3 linked regions of the Anolis sagrei genome follow. The protein of the gene in region 1 interacts with the protein of each later gene in a pairwise test. Links are inferred from orthologs where the notes say so. Each region holds a gene or a part of one and is shown in the gene's direction. Other genes may lie near its edges.

Region 1 (5,370 bases):
AGGGTCTAACTGAAAATCTAATAAATGTAAAAGATAATATTCTGCTTTAAACTCCACTTTTATCTGCAGGATCTTCTGCACTGCCCTATGCACCTCCCGCCAGAAGTTCCTGACTTTTTTGCACTGCCACCATGCGTGATAGTGGGTACCCAGCTCCCCCCCACACTTCCAGCAGTCACTGTTCGTTCCTTTGTGGAATTTTGCCATCTTCTGTGGAGTTAGGTACCATCGGTGGAAGATTTTTTGCCAATTTTCTAGTATGTTGGTGGATTTTGCAAATTTTAATTTTCTCTTCCATATAGCCTCCCACTCGCTGAGGAGAATAGAGTGCCCGAAATCAGCTGCCCAGCTGGTCATATTCTCCTTTACAACTTCCAGTTCAGTTTCCCACTCCAGGAGTTTCCCATAAAGGGTTCTGACCACTTTTTTATCCTTTTCCATTATTTTGTCCCACAGTGACTCTTGTGGGGAGAAGTCTTTCTTTTTGTCTTCCTTAAAGCAGTCAGTAATTTGCATATAATGGAACCAGGAGATTTATGATTTTGATTGACATTATAGCACACATGGCTTTGGCCTATAAAGCCCTAAACGGTTCTGGCCCAAGTTACCTATCCGCATCTCCACCTATGAACCCACTAGGACTTTGAGATCTTCCGGGGAGGCCCTGCTCTCGATCCCGCCTGCAACACAGGCGCGGCTGGCGGGGACAAGAGACAGGGCCTTCTCGGTGGTGGCCCCTCGGCTGTGGAACGGCCTTCCCACGGACATCAGATTGGCCCCCTCATTGATGGTATTCCGGAGGAAAGTGAAAACCTGGTTATTTGAACAGGCGTTTGAATAAGCAGTGCAATGAATTTCAGGAAATGGAACTACGACTGACAAGTTTGGATCATGATTCTAGTTATGAGACGCCACTGAATGTTTATTAGTGTTAAATTGTTTAATTTGTTTCTGTGTTAACTGTTTTTAAGTACCTTCTTGATGCCACATTGAATTTTTGCCTTGATTGTTCGCCTTGTTTTTGCTTGTTGTAAACTGCTATGAGTCGTGTTAGGGCTGAGAATGGCGGTATACAAATGAAGTAAATAAATGATAAATAAATAAATTATATTTAAAAATTATTATATTATATCCATATTTTATTATATTCTTATTTTCAATATATATATATATATATATATATATACACACACACACATATATATATATATAAATATATATACACACACACACACATTCTTGTTTTCAATTTGTGTATTTTATAGTATACTATTATTATTATTGTCATTAGTATTCTTATTATGAGCTTCATCCTATGAGTCTGGAAATGAGCTTTTCGGGCCACCGTAACCATCGAGACGAAAAACTAGAAAGTCAGAGATGAGAAAATGAGGGCGGTCACCACGAAACGTCGCTACGTCGCCCATTATTGTTTCCTCATTCAATCCGCTTGCTCCTGCAAGGCGTCACTTCCGGGGCGGGCTTCACCATTGTCAACGCTGAGCTCGCAGGCGCAGTCGCAGTCGCTTGAAGGCCAAACAGGAAGTGGCGCTCATTTCAGCGAGGAGAAGGCTGTGAAGAAGAAGCAGGCCTTTGTTTCCCTTTCACGAAAGAAGGAAGGTAAGAAATATATATATATAATATTATTATTATTGCCATATTTATGACTATCACATATTAATATATTTTATATTAATAAACTATTATAAAAGGGTTGCCATGGAAACCGTTACGGGGCTTGTTCTGCCTGGAAACAGTGGGTTAAACAGTATTTATTATTATATTTATTCTATTGTATATAATAATATGCAATTATCTATCTATCTTCTATCTATCTATCTATCTATCTATCTATCTCTATCTTCTATCTATCTATCTTCTCTCTCTCTCTCTCTCTCTATCTTCTATCTATCATCTATCTATCTATCTATCTATCTATCTATCTATTATATCTCTATCTATCTGCTATCTATCTATCTATTATATCTCTATCTATCTATCTTCCATCTATTATATCTCTGTCTATCTTCTATCTATCTATCTTCTATCTATTATATCTCTATCTATTTATCTATCTTCTATCTATCTATCTATCTATCTATTTATTATATCTCTATCTATCTATCTTCTATCTATCATCTATCTATCTATCTATCTATCTATCTATATCATCTATCTATCTTCTATCTATCTATCTATCTATCTATATCTATCATCTATCTTCTATCTCTCTCTCTATCTATCTATATCTATCATCTATCTTCTATCTATCATCTATCTATCTTCTATCTATCTATCATCTATCTATATCTATCATCTATCTATTATATCTCTATCTATCTATCTGCTATCTATCTATCTTCTATCTATTATATCTCTATCTATCTATCTATCTATCTATCTATCTTCTATCTATTATATCTCTATCTATATATCTATCTTCTATCTATCTATCTATCTATCTATTATATCTCTATCTTCTCTCTATATATTATATCTCTATCTATCTATCTTCTATCTATCATCTATCTATCTATCTATTATATCTCTATCTATCTTCTCTCTATCTATTATATCTCTATCTATCTATCTTCTATCTATCATCTATCTATCTATTATATCTCTATCTATCTATCTATCTATCTATCTTCTATCCATCTTCTATATCTATCTATCTATTATATCTCTATCTGTCTATCTATCTTCTCTCTCTCTCTCTCTCTCTCTTCTATCTATCTATCTTCTATCTATCTATCTATCTATCTTCTATCTATATATATAAAAATGCTCTGTGCATAATGAGTACCTTAAAAACAAAAGAACCAATGAACGAAAGCACACCAAATTTGGCAACAACACGTCTCACAACACAAGGAGTGACCATCACTCAAAAAATTATGATTTTGTCACTTGGGAATTGTAGTTGCTGGGATTTATAGTTCACCTATAATCAGAGAGCATTCTGAACTCCAACAATGATGGAATTGAACCAAACTTGGCACACAGAACCCCCATGAGCAACAGAAAATACTGGAAGGGTTTGGTGGGCCTTGACCTTGAGTTTGGGAGTTGCAGTTCACCTACATCCAGAAGCCACTGTGGACTCAAACAATGATGGATCTGGACCAAACTTGGCACAAGCACTCAATACGCCAAAATATGAACACAGATGGAGTTTGGAGGAAATAGACCTTGACATTTGGGAGTTGTAGTCACTGAGATTCACAGTTCACCTACAATCAAAGAGCATTCTGAACTCCAACAATGATGGAATTGAACCAAACTTGGCACACAGAACTCCCACGACCAACAGAAAATACTACAATGGTTTGGTGGGCCTTGACCTTGAGTTTGGGAGTTGCAGTTCACCTACATCCAGAAAGCACTGTGGACTCAAACAATGATGGATCTGGACTATACTTGGCACAAATATTCCATATGTCCAAATATGAACACAGATGAAGTTTGAGGGAAATAGACCTTGATGTTTGAGAGTTGTAGTTACTGGGATTTATAGTTCACCTACAATCAAAGAGGATTCAGAACCCCAGCAATTGGGGCAAACCTCCCACACAGAACCCCCATGACCAACAGAAAATACTTAAGGCCATCCACTCCAACTCTCTTCTTCACGAGGGCAAGAAAATGTAATCAGAGCCCTCCTGACAAAGAGCCATCCAGATATAGATATAGATAGATATATATGATTCACACACACACATAGTATCATAGATTTGAAAGGGACCCTTAAAGAAGGACAATTATATGTTGCATGTTCCAGGGTGGGCAAACCAGACACTCTCCACATCAACACTGAAAAAAAAACCAAGAAATACTGTTTACCCACAAGCATAAAGGAATTACATATATTAGAAACCAACACTTTCTCATTACTTTATTTTCCAGATCATCAGACTGGGCCACAGCAATGCGTGGCAGGGGACAGCTAGTGTGTGTGTGTATATATATATATAAATGCTCTGTGCATAATGAATACCTTAAAAACAAAAGAACCAATGAACGAAATCACACCAAATTTGGCAACAAAACGTCTCACAACACAAGGAGTGATCATCACTCAAATATTATGATTTTGTCACTTGGGAGTTGTAGTTGCCGGGATTTATAGTTCACTTACAATCAAAGAGCATTCTGAACTCCACCAATGATGGAATTCAACCAAACATGGCATACAGGACTTCCATGACCAACAGAACACACTGGAAGGGTTTGGTGGGCATTGACCTTGAGTTTGGGAGTTGTAGTTCACCTACATCCTGAGAGCACTGTGGACTCAAACAATGATGGATCTGGACCAAACTTGGCACAAGCATTCAATACACCCAAATATGAACACAGATGGAGTTTGGGGGACATAGACCTTGACATTTGGGAGTTGAACTTACTGGGATTTATAGTTCACCTACAATCAAGGAGCATTCCAAACCCCACCAATGATGGAATTGGGCCAAACATCCCACATTGAACCCCCATGACCAACAGAAAATACTGTGTTTTCCGGTGGTCTTTGGTGACCCTTCTGACACCCCTCTGGTGACTCTCCCCCCCACCCGGGGTCTTGACTTACCAGGATGAGAAATACTGCCTTAAGGCCATCCAGTCCAACTCCCTTCACCAGGGCAAGAAATCATAATCAAAGCCCTCCTGACAAAGGGCCATCCAGCCATTCACACACACACACACACACATATGTATATGACAGATGCAGTACCATAGATCTGAAAGGGACCCCTAAAGAAGGACAATGATATGTTGCATGTTCCAGAGTAGGCCAACCAGACAATCTCCACATTAACACTGGCAAAGAAACAGCAAGAAATACTGGTTACCCACAAGCAGAAAGACATTACATATATTAGAAGCCAGCACTTTCTCATTACATTATTTTCCAGATCACTATACTGGGCCACAGCAACACGTGGCAGGGGACCGCTAGTTATGTATATGGATTATAATATTTCTATTATATTATGTTATTATTATTATGATTATTATTATCATTATCTTCTTCTAGAGCTTCCTGCCATGTCGCTGTCTCACTTACCTACTATTACATTATCATTATATTATTATTAATATCAATAATTAGCATTTTTCTATTATATATCATTATATTATTTCATGTTATGTTATGTTATATTAATAACAGAGTATTATATTAAATTATATTATTCTTGTTACTATTCTTCTTCCATAGTGTCCCCTTTGCTTTATTATATATTATTGTATTATTATTTACTATTATATTATAATATTAATATAATGACATTCTTTATTATATTATTACCTACTAATGTATCTTATTTGCTATTATATTACATTAATGGTCCCATGTAAGTCGCCCTGAGT
Region 2 (5,370 bases), on another chromosome or scaffold:
CTTCTCCAAGGAGGGAGAAAATGATATGGTAATATTTTGGATGCATGTGGATGAATGCATGTACATGTGTGTGAATGTTGAGTGAAATTATAATTCCACTTTGTTTGTGACCGCATCTCCGTATATGAACCCACATGATCCCTCCGTTCATCTGGAGAGGCCCTGCTCACGATTCCACCTGCGTCGCAAGCGCGTTTGGTGGGGACGAGGGACAGGGCCTTCTCTGTGGTAGCCCCCCGGCTCTGGAACTCTCTCCCCAAGGACATCAGACAAGCCCCAACGTTGGCAGTCTTTAGGAGGAGCTTGAAGACCTGGCTGTTCCAGTGTGCCTTTCCAGAATAGGAAACTCCCAGCATCATGTCCCAAAAGCACTTTATTAGAGATTTAAGATTGTCTGCACATCGCACCTACTCTAAAATCCTTACATTTCACCTGTCATGTCCAGCACTTTTAATCTTATTCATTGCATTTGGCCCGACCCTTAATTTTTAAATGTGTCATGGTGTTATTGTTTAATGTTTACTGTTATTGCTTTAATGTTTATTGGTTTGCTTTTTGAATTTTATTGTTGTTTTTGTTATGCTGTTGTTTATTGAGGGCCTTGGCCTTTGTAAGCCGCACCGAGTCCTTTGGGAGATGTTAGCGGGGTACAAATAAAGTTAATAATAATAATAATAATAATAATAATAATAATTGTAAATCCAATGTAGTTGCATAGAATCTGTATGTCTGTGTGTCCAATGTCATTCTTTGCCTAAATGTTTTCTGTAAACTGATATACCTTCTCAGACTGGAAATTGCAATAAAAAGAACCTATGCTTCAAAGTCATTGAAAAGTCTTCTGATCTTCTCATGGCCAAATGGTGCTCTTTTTATGTAACAAGCAAAGTCATTCTTCATCTCCCAAAACCTGGTTTTCAAAAATCTTGCTAAGTATATTGTTTTTCTTCTGCATATTAGTTTTTATCATTGTTTTGATATCTTATTTGTGAAAACTGCTATGGAATCACTGAGACTGTGGCGCAGCTGGCTGGGAGTCAGCTGCATTAAGATCACTACTGAACGAAAGTTCATGAGTTCGAAGCCAGCCCGGGTCAGAGTGAGCTTCCAACCAATTTTTGTAGTTTGCTGTCGACCTTTGCAGCCCGAAAGACAGTTGCATCCGTCAAGTAGGAAATTTAGGTACCGCTTATGTGGGGAGGCTAATTTAACTAATTTACGATGTCATAACAATTTCCAGCAAGCGTGCAAAGAATGAGGAAGTACTTCATCAGTGTCACAAATGGACAGTGAAGCAACAGTTCCCCTGGTGGCCAGAATACCCTCATGAAAGCTGGAATGGGTATTGTGAATGGGTATTGTAGTAACTGTTTATTAATTGTGTAATGTGTTAGGTTGTTAACTGTTTTTATACTGTAGCACTGAATTTTTGCTGTTCATATTTGTTGTGAACCGCTGTGAGTCGCCTTCGGGCTGAGAACAGCGGTATATAAGTAAGGTAAATAAATAAATAAATAATGTTAAATAGCCTCTGTGTGTCTGTCTATATATGTTGTGTGTCTATGGCATTGAATATTTGCCATGTATATGTACATTGTAATCTGCCCTGAGTCCCCTGCGGGGTGAGAAGGGTGAATATATATATATATATATATATACTGTAAAAGTCATTCACGACACACGTACCAAATTTCATGGGCATTCTCACATCCACCGAGGCAGCACTGTCCACGCCACCTGAGATGATGCTCACTTGCTTAAGCCCCTCGTCGTATTTCACCTGCAAAGAATCCAGGCTTGATCTTGGGTGGTGCATCTCGGCGTTGGCCCCTTTCACGGTCACGAAAACCCTGTCTCCATCAGGGTGCTTGTGGGGGTCCAGGGGGCACAGAGTGATGTGGCAAGGGAGGCGGGCCTTCAGTGAGCCAAAGGGGCACACAGCCAGGGCCCACTCCTTGAGGGCTTCCCTGTTCTCTGGCCTGGGCTCTTTGGGTTGAGAGGGATCTTGACTTCTGCTGCCAGGGCTGGTTGAAAGCAAGCGAGGCAGTAGTTGGCAGGTGCCACTCCATGTTTCCTGCCCAGCAAGGCCTCCTCCACCAGACAGGAACCAGTTCCTTGCTGGGATCCCAGCTGCCAAGTGCCAACATCTGGGCAAGAGAGGCAGCATCATCATGCCCTACCTGTCTGGGCTTAGTCGACCAAGGCAGCTTCTCCTTCCACAAAAATAGATGGTTCCACAGCCCAAGACTTTGTAGACTCTTTGGCTCCTTGCATGAGAGACAAGCCCACCCTCTGGTTTCAAAAAATGTCTAAAACTAGGGCCTGTGAACTGTCCTTCAGGCACTACACTAGCCTAGCCATGCCCAAGTGGCTGCTGGGAAATGTGGTTTCCACTCAATTTTTCTGAGAGTCTTGAACGACAACTCCCAGAATGCAGAGCGTCAACAGCGACTGGGAAGAGAGGATGTTTTCGTGCGGTGCGGAAGGAACAGCCAATAAGAAGAAAGGAGGCGGAAGAGGCGGGAAGAGGCGGAAGCAGAGCGTCGGTTTCCATGGGAACGCACGACGCTGAGGGAAAGGCGGCAGGAGCGTCGTGGGAGCTGAAAGGGTAAAGCGGGCCAAGGCTGGGAAGGAGGTCGAATGAGTAGATACAGTTATGTCAAACTGCGTTCATTCTGCAGTGTAGATGCCCCCACTTTCCCCTCGGTTTACTTCAATTGTTTTAAGTGGCTTCACGGAGCAAAAGGGTCCTCATGCTCCATTCTCTCAGTAGGGGAAAAGGGAAAGGTCGAAGGGAAGAGAGGGAAGGCCTTTCTTCACAGCCATATCACCCAGAATATAAAGGCATATAGAATCTCCTTTCTTGTAGTTTGACGCCATTGTTCCGCGTCCTAGTCTCCAGGGAAGCACAAAACAAGCTTGCTCCCTCCTCCCCGTGGCTTCCTCTCACATATTTATACATGGCTATCATATCTCCTCTCAGCCTTCTCTTCTTCAGGCTAAACATGCCCAGCTCTTTAAGCCGCTCCTCATAGGGCTTGTTCTCCAGAACCTTGATCATTTTAGTCACCCTCCTCTGGACACATTCCAGCTTGTCAATATCTTTCTTGAATTGTGGTGCCCAGAATTGGACACAATATTCCAGATCCTGCAAGGAAGACTCCAGCAATACATGGAACGAGAGTTACCAGATGTGCAAGCTGGGTTTAGAAAAGGCAGAGGAACAAGAGACCAGATTGCCAAAATTCGCTGGATAATGGAGAAAGGCAGGGAGTTTCAGAAAAACATCTATTTCTGCTTCATTGACTATTCTAAAGCCTTTGACTGTGTGGATCATAATACATTGTGGCAAGTTCTTGGTGGGATGGGCATACCAAGCCACCGTGTCTCTCTCCTGAGGAATCTGTACAAGGACCAAGTAGCAACAGTCAGAACTGACCACGGAACAACAGACTGGTTCAAGATTGGGAAAGGCGTACGGCAAGGCTGCATCCTCTCACCCAACCTTTTTAACTTGTATGCAGAACACATCATGCGATATGCGGGGCTTGATGAATGCAAGGCTGGGGTGAAAATTGCTGGAAGAAACATTAACAACCTCAGAGATGCAGATGACACCACTCTGATGGCCGAAAGCGAGGAGGAGCTGAGGAGCCTTCTAATCAAGGTGAAAGAAGAAAGCGCAAAAGCTGGGTTGCAGCTAAACATAAAAAAAACCAAGATTATGGCAACAAGAATGATTGACAACTGGGAAATAGAGGGAGAAAATGTGGAGGCCGTGACAAACTTTGTATTTCTAGGCGCAAAGATTACTGCAGATGCAGACTGTGGCCAGGAAATCAGAAGACGCTTACTTCTTGGGAGGAGAGCAATGTCCAGTCTCGATAAAATAGTAAAGAGTAGAGACATCAGACTGGCAACAAAGATCCGCCTAGTCAAAGCCATGGTATTCCCTGTAGTAACCTACGGATGTGAGAGCTGGACCTTAGGGAAGGCTGAGCGAAGGAAGATAGATGCTTTTGAGCTGTGGTGTTGGAGGAAAGTTCTGAGAGTGCCTTGGACTGCGAGAAGATCCAACCAGTCCATCCTCCAGGAAATAAAGCCCGACTGCTCATTGGAGGGAAGGATACTAGAGACAAAGTTGAAGTACTTTGGCCACATCATGAGGAGACAGGAAAGCCTAGAGAAGACAATTATGCTGGGGAAAGTGACGGAAGGCAAAAGGAAGAGGGGGCCAACCAAGGGCAAGATGGATGGATGGCATCCTTGAAGTGACTGGACTGACCTTGAAGGAGCTGGGGGTGGTGACGGCCGACAGGGAGCTCTGGCGTGGGCTGGTCCATGAGGTCACGAAGAGTCGGAGACGACTGAATGAATGAACAACAACAAAACAATTTAAAAACAATTTAAATTGTCTGGAGAACAAGCCCTATGAGGAGCGGCTTAAGGAGCTGGGCATGTTTAGCCTGAAGAAGAGAAGGCTGAGAGGAGATATGATAGCCATGTATAAATATGTGAGAGGAAGCCACAGGGAGGAGGGAGCAAGCTTGTTTTCTGCTTCCCTGAGGACTAGGACACGGAACAATGGCTTCAAACTGCAAGAGAGGAGATTCCATCTGAACATGAGGAAGAACTTCCTGACTGTGAGAGCCATTCAGCAGTGGAACTCTCTGCCTCGGAGTGTGGTGGAGGCTCTTTCTTTGGAAGCTTTCAAACAGAAGCTGGATGGCCATCTGTCAGGGGTGATTTGAATGCAATATTCCTGCTTCTTGGCAAGGGGTTGGACTGGATGGCCCATAAGGTCTCTTCCAACTCTTTGATTCCATGATTCTATGATTCTAAAAACAACAATATCAGACATCAAAGGTCTGTTGACACAGATATGTCTTACATGCCCTGCGGAAAGCTGATAGGTCCCGCAAGGTGGCAGAGTATTCCAGAGCGATGGTGCCACTGCTGTGAAGGCTCTGCGCCTGGTTGCTGTTAGACGCAAGGTCTTGACGCTGGGAATTTCCAATAGATCTTGGTCCTCAGAACGGAGGGATCTCTGGGGTTGGTAGGGGGTGAGGCGGTCCCTCAGGTACATCGGCCCCAGACCATGCAAGGCCTTAAAGGTGAGTACCATCACTTTGAAAGTAATCCGGTGCTCAATTGGTAACCAATGCAGCTGTAGTAAGATTGGTGTTATGTGGCATCTCATCAGAATTCCCGCAAGAAGCCGAGCAGCTGCATTTTGTACCAACTTGAGCTTCCAGATCACCGACAGAGGAAGGCCAATGTAGAGGGCGTTACAGTAGTCCAGTCTTGAGATGACCGTGGCCTGGATCACCATAGCTAGGTCGTCCCTGGACAGGTAGGGGGCCAGCCGTC
Region 3 (5,370 bases), on another chromosome or scaffold:
TGCGGATCTTGGTTACTAATTTTGGACTGGTCATAATTAAACCTGTACTGGGGAGGTGTGCTTTGAAACGTCAGTTCTTTTGTGCCGAACAGCTTGTTCCTTGTTCTGGGGTTTCACTTGCAACTGTGATCAGCTACAAGGGAAGGGAAGGTTGGGGCTGGAGGACTCTTATGTACTACGTTCCATAATAAACATTTGTTATACAGACTGCTCGGATCTGCCTTATTGAAAAGAGCAAGATTTGTTTTAAAGTCAGTGAAGTACATCTATGTTACTTTGGAGATCTTTTATCTGAACCAGCCAAACTTCAAGTTTAGGTCACTGGTCAAAGCTGACAGGTTGGCATGCTTTCCCGTGTATGGGGAAGACTTCATGCCCTGAATGAAGCATGTGAGAAGGAAACTGTTCAGATTGGCTTTCAGGTATTGAGCGCTTGAGAGTTTATGGGGGAACAAATATTGTTTGTGTGGTTCAAAACAATGTAAAAGAATACATGTATCCATACATCCCAAATCACGGTAGGCTCTTAGAAATTGTGGGAGTTGGAAGTCCAAAGCATCTGGAGGGCCAAAGTTTGCCCATGTTTGTTGTAGAGCAGTCAAAAGGTAACCAATGAACAAGTCCACATTATTTGCTACAAGGTGACATCTGTACTAGATTGACATGATTCAATTGAAATTAGTGTGTTTATCTGGTGGGGTTCCTGTCCCCGGTTTCTCTTCCTTTTTCCTCAAACCTTTTTCCCTTTGCTTTTTCTTCTCTCCCCTTGCCCTCCTTTTTCTTTCTTCCCCCTTCCTTTTTCTTCTCCTTTCTCTTCCTTCCTTCCTTCCTTCCTTTCATCTCTACTTTCTCCCTTCTCCAGCTCCGAGGGCCAATTTCACAGCGTCTCCATGACACTCTTCACATCCCATCCCCTTTCTTCCTTTCCCTTCCTCCCTCCTTTCCCTTCTTTCCTTCCTTCCATTCTCCTTCCTTCCCTCTTTACTTCCTTCCTTTCTTCTTCCCCTCCTTTTCCTTCCTTCCCTCTTTCCTCCCTCTCTTACCTTCTTTTCCCTCCCCCTTCCCTCCCTTTTCTTCCATTTCTCCCTTCCTTCACTTCCCCTTCCTTCCATCGCTCCCTCCCTTTCCTTCCTTCCCTTTTTCCTTCCTCCCTTCCCTTTTCCCTCCCACCTTTCCTCCCCTTCCCTCCTTTTCCTTCTTCCCTTCTCTTCTCTCCCTCCTTTCCTCCCCTTCCTTCCCATCTCTCCCTTCCTTCCCTCCTCTCCTCCCATCACTCCATTCCTCCTTCCCTTTCCTTCCTTCCCTCCCTTTCCTTCCTCCCTTCCCCCTCTTTATTCCCTTCCTTCCCCTTCCCTCCTTTTCCTTCTCCCCTTCTCTTCCCTTCTTTTCTCTCTCTCCTTTCCTCCCCTTCCTTCCCTTCCATCTCTCCCTTCCCTCCTCTCCTTCCATCACTCCATTCCCTTCTTCCCTTCCCTCCTTTTCATTCCTCCCTTCCCTTCTTTCCCTCCCTCCTTTCCTCCCCTTCCTTCGCTCCCTTCCTCTTCCTCTCCTTCCATCTCTCCCTTCTCCTTCCTTTCCTCCTTCTCTCCCTACCCATACCTCCGCCCTCCCTTCCCTCTCCCTATTTCCTTCCTTCCTTTCCCAGTGACATCACAAAGGGCCCCATCCCCTAGCAACAGCCAATCATCCACTCCCTCGGAAGAGAAAGCTAAAGGCCCTGCAGCGCTGCCCTCGCGCGTATTTGCGCCTCTTCGAGAATCTCCCCCGAATCGCCGCCCCCGCCCCCTGGGAAACTACCACTCCCAGGATGCTTTGCGGCAAGCGAGGCCACTTCCTGTTCGTGGAGCAAGATGGCGGCGCCGGGAAAGAGGCACGAGAGGAGCGGGAGGGCGGCCGCCCCCTTGGGCTTCGCGGGTGAGGAGGGGTCAGGTCTCTGGGGAACCCGGTGCGGGGACGGGTATTTGGTAACCCCCTGGCAGGTGAAAGGGCTGCCAAACCGCATTAATTCTACAGTGTAGACTAGTAATGGGCCAACTTGGGTCCTCCAGGTGTTTTGGACTTCAACTCCCATCATTCCTAACAGCCTCAGGCCCCTTCCTTTTCCCCCTCAGCCGCTTAAGCGGCTGAGGGGGAAAAGGAAAGGGCCTGAGGCTGTTAGGAATGCTGGGAGTTGAAGTCCAAAACACCTGGAGGACCCAAGTTGGCCCATGCCTGGCCTAGGCCCTTGGAAACAACTTTCTTTCAACTTAACTCCATGATTTGCAGAAGGAACTGAATGGGAGGTTGGCAAAACCACACTTCCCTTCAGTTCCATTCACGTTGCACAAAATGGACTACGTTTTAATAAAGGCATGGGCTGAATAGTCCTTCAGGTTGAAAGGGAAAAAAAGACTGTTTACTGCTATCTTTTGTTACACTTGTATTAAAATCTCAAAGTTTTTGTGTATTTTCATGGGTTTGCTGTGCTAAAATGGATTTTCAGGGAGATACCACAAATAATACAGGCAGCCCCCAAGTTACAGAAAAGATAGGTTCTGTAGGGTTGTGCTTCAGTTGAATTTGTATGTAAGTCAGAACAGGTGCATTTTTGGAGTGTTATTCCAATTTAAAAAAAAACACACACACACACACACACACACATAAAACTAGCATAGGTAAAGTAAAGGTTTCTACTGAGATTAAGTCTAGTTATGTCCGACTCTGGGGGTTGATGCTCATCTCCATTTCTATGCTGAAGAGCCGGCGTTGTCCATAGACACCTCCAAGGTCATGCGGCCAGCATGACTGCATGGAGCACAGAAGCAGTACCTATTGATCTACTCACATTTGCATGTTTTTGAACTGCTAGGTTGCCAAAAGCTGGGGCTATCAGTGGGAGCTCACCCCGCTCCCCAGATTCAAACGCCAACCTTTAAGTCAGCAAGCACAGCAGTTTAACCTGCTGTGTCACCAGGGGGCCCTTGGATAACATAGGAAAGGGTTAACACCCTTGTGGTGTTTGTTTTATGGTCTGTGTCCCTGTTCAGAATACTTCCCCACACTTTTTGTCCCTATGATCATTAGATTTTGAAAAAAATGCTTGTTGTGGAAACAAGGACTGGTGCTAAAGCTTCAGTGGAGACACTTTTTCCCCATGATAACTCTTCCAGGAGTGAATTTCCCATCCTAGAGGCAGATTTCTCTCACTTTCTGTTGTCTCACCCTCATTCTTAACTGTGAGTCATTTATAAATCAGATGATTGTAACCCTCCAGGTACTTGGACTTCAATTCCCAACAGCTGGCAAGCTGGCTGGGATTTCTGGGAATTGAAATCCAAAACACCTGGAGAACTGAAGTTAGCCCATGCCTGGTCTAGCAGCCAAAGGGGAAAATCTCTTACACATTTGAATCATTAAGCTGAATAGCTTAATGTTTAGCTTTGAAACACCTAGTAACTCAAAATCCACAAAAGAATGGTGGCTTAATGGTTAACTAAAATGCACAAAACATACCAGATAAGCTTTCAGAATTCCACTGGATTCTTCATCAGCAAAAGATGATAAAAATCATGCAGGAGAAGAAGAAAAAGTGTCAGTGTTGGAGTCGCAGGCCTACCTTTTGTATCAGATGTTATTGCTGTTGTTCGGTTGACTTGGAGGGATCTCAATGGCAACAAAGACCAATCCCCTCTTGACCAAGTTGGGGCTGAGAAAAAGGATAGCAAAGTTTAAGCTCCAAGCTGAGTAGTGTAATTAGTAGCTGGTTGTTTTTAAAGTAACAACATATTTATTTACAAACGGATTCTTCTTTCTTTTTAGTAATACCAGTTAAGTTCTCTGAAAAGCACCAGTCACCTCACTATCTCTATGTGAAGGAACACAAAGTCAGGGAGGAAAAAGATCATAACAGACCTCAAAACAATACCCTTTTTGTTCTGAATGTCCCTCCATATTGTACAGAGGTGAGTATTTGGGAAAGGGAGGGAGAGCTATATGATCATGGACAGAAGATTGTGGATTATATTGTTGTGTGCCTTCATGTCATTCTGACTTGTAACCATAAAATGATTCTATCATTGAGTCTTCTTGGTGAGACTTTGTATATAATGGAATCAAAGCATCTACAGACGTTGGTATCCACAGGGAGTCCTGGAACAAAACTCTTGACAGATACCAGAGCCCACTGTACACTTATTTCTTAATGATTTCAGCCAGTACACAGTGGATACTGGGAATAAAGAGTTCTGCCTGTATACCTGTGTTATCTTATAGAAATAATATGTTGTACCTTCATAAAGAAGAGGAGACCAAGTATTGAACTAATATAACCTTTGTGCTTTTTCAAAAACTCACATTATTTGTCTTCTTAACTATTGAATTTTAAAATATATTTTTAGCCTTTTAAATAATTTTAGTATTTATACTGTTTAAATTTGTCAGACCAGTTTTATTGTATACCACCCTGAGATTTCTAGATAGAGGACAGGAGACATGTGTCTCTATGTATTTACATATTTGTATGTATAAAATGTAGGGCCTATATACTCTAAGGGCACCAGATCCTGTATGATATTGGAAGCTAAGCTCAGTCAGTTCCTAGATGGGAGACTACTATGAATCCCAGGTGCTGTAGGCTGTATTTCAGAAGAAATATTCATATATACAAATTGGGGTATTTTTGTTTATTGCAATAATTATATCCTGTTCTGTAACAAAGAGATTTCATGGCAGCTTTCAACTAACATAAATAGAGGGCAGAACAACATGGACAGACTACATACAAATAACACAATAGAGGACAGGAACCAAGTTCATGGTGCAGGGAATTGTACATTATTCTGAGGAATAGGCACAGATGAGCTCCTTGGGGATGGTTTCAGTCTTTTAAAAGGTTATTTCCTATAGAGCTGAATCATGCTGTGCTTTGGGATTGTTTATTATTGTTGTTGTGAACAATTCACAGTTTATTCTTGCTTCTGTAGGAATGTTTGTCAAGGCTATTCTCTGGCTTCGGCTCAGTACAGTCTGTTGAGCTGTGTGAAAAGCCAACGCTGGGAGAAAAAAAGAAACTACCCAAAACAAAGTTCTTTGGTGCAAAAAAACCTTTGGTAAGTCATAAACACTGAGCAAGGATGGGAAATACTGAGGTATTTGCATTTGGGGAGGGGAAAGGGAGCTCTCCTGAAACAGATAGGAGCAATTGCTTTCTTTGTGATTTTTTTTTATTGTGAACAATTCACAGCTTATTAGTTGCTTGTGTTTCAGGATCTCTGACTCAGACACTGTCACTTTCATATTTCAGAATTGCACAGTCAAGTATAAAACATATTGTCTTCCTCACCCCAAGTGTATTAGCGGACATCATACTTTAATCTTGGGTGCGGAGGAAGA

What was found.
Region 2: the proteins of TFIP11 (region 1) and CCDC146 interact in binary tests that used the Homo sapiens proteins (3 or more experiments, as listed by UniProt). The two-hybrid records come from large-scale screens. The link is inferred for Anolis sagrei from reciprocal best matches to the Homo sapiens genes TFIP11 and CCDC146.
Region 3: the proteins of TFIP11 (region 1) and RRP7A interact in binary tests that used the Homo sapiens proteins (3 or more experiments, as listed by UniProt). The link is inferred for Anolis sagrei from reciprocal best matches to the Homo sapiens genes TFIP11 and RRP7A.

The regions. Positions count from the first base shown.
Region 1 is NC_090034.1:60,706,757-60,712,126, forward strand, and holds the start of TFIP11 (tuftelin-interacting protein 11), read left to right. Parts: upstream 1-1,464; 5' UTR 1,465-1,620; intron 1,621-5,370. UniProt on the Homo sapiens protein: Involved in pre-mRNA splicing, specifically in spliceosome disassembly during late-stage splicing events. Intron turnover seems to proceed through reactions in two lariat-intron associated complexes termed Intron Large (IL) and Intron Small (IS).
Region 2 is NC_090025.1:85,575,213-85,580,582, forward strand, and holds the start of CCDC146 (coiled-coil domain-containing protein 146), read left to right. Parts: upstream 1-2,452; 5' UTR 2,453-2,608; intron 2,609-5,370. Other genes in the region: protein FAM185A, read right to left, coding at 1,687-2,173. UniProt on the Homo sapiens protein: Essential for sperm flagellum biogenesis and male fertility.
Region 3 is NC_090025.1:160,159,840-160,165,209, forward strand, and holds the start of RRP7A (ribosomal RNA-processing protein 7 homolog A), read left to right. Parts: upstream 1-1,784; 5' UTR 1,785-1,850; coding exon 1,851-1,914; intron 1,915-3,798; coding exon 3,799-3,941; intron 3,942-4,961; coding exon 4,962-5,087; intron 5,088-5,370. UniProt on the Homo sapiens protein: Nucleolar protein that is involved in ribosomal RNA (rRNA) processing. Also plays a role in primary cilia resorption, and cell cycle progression in neurogenesis and neocortex development.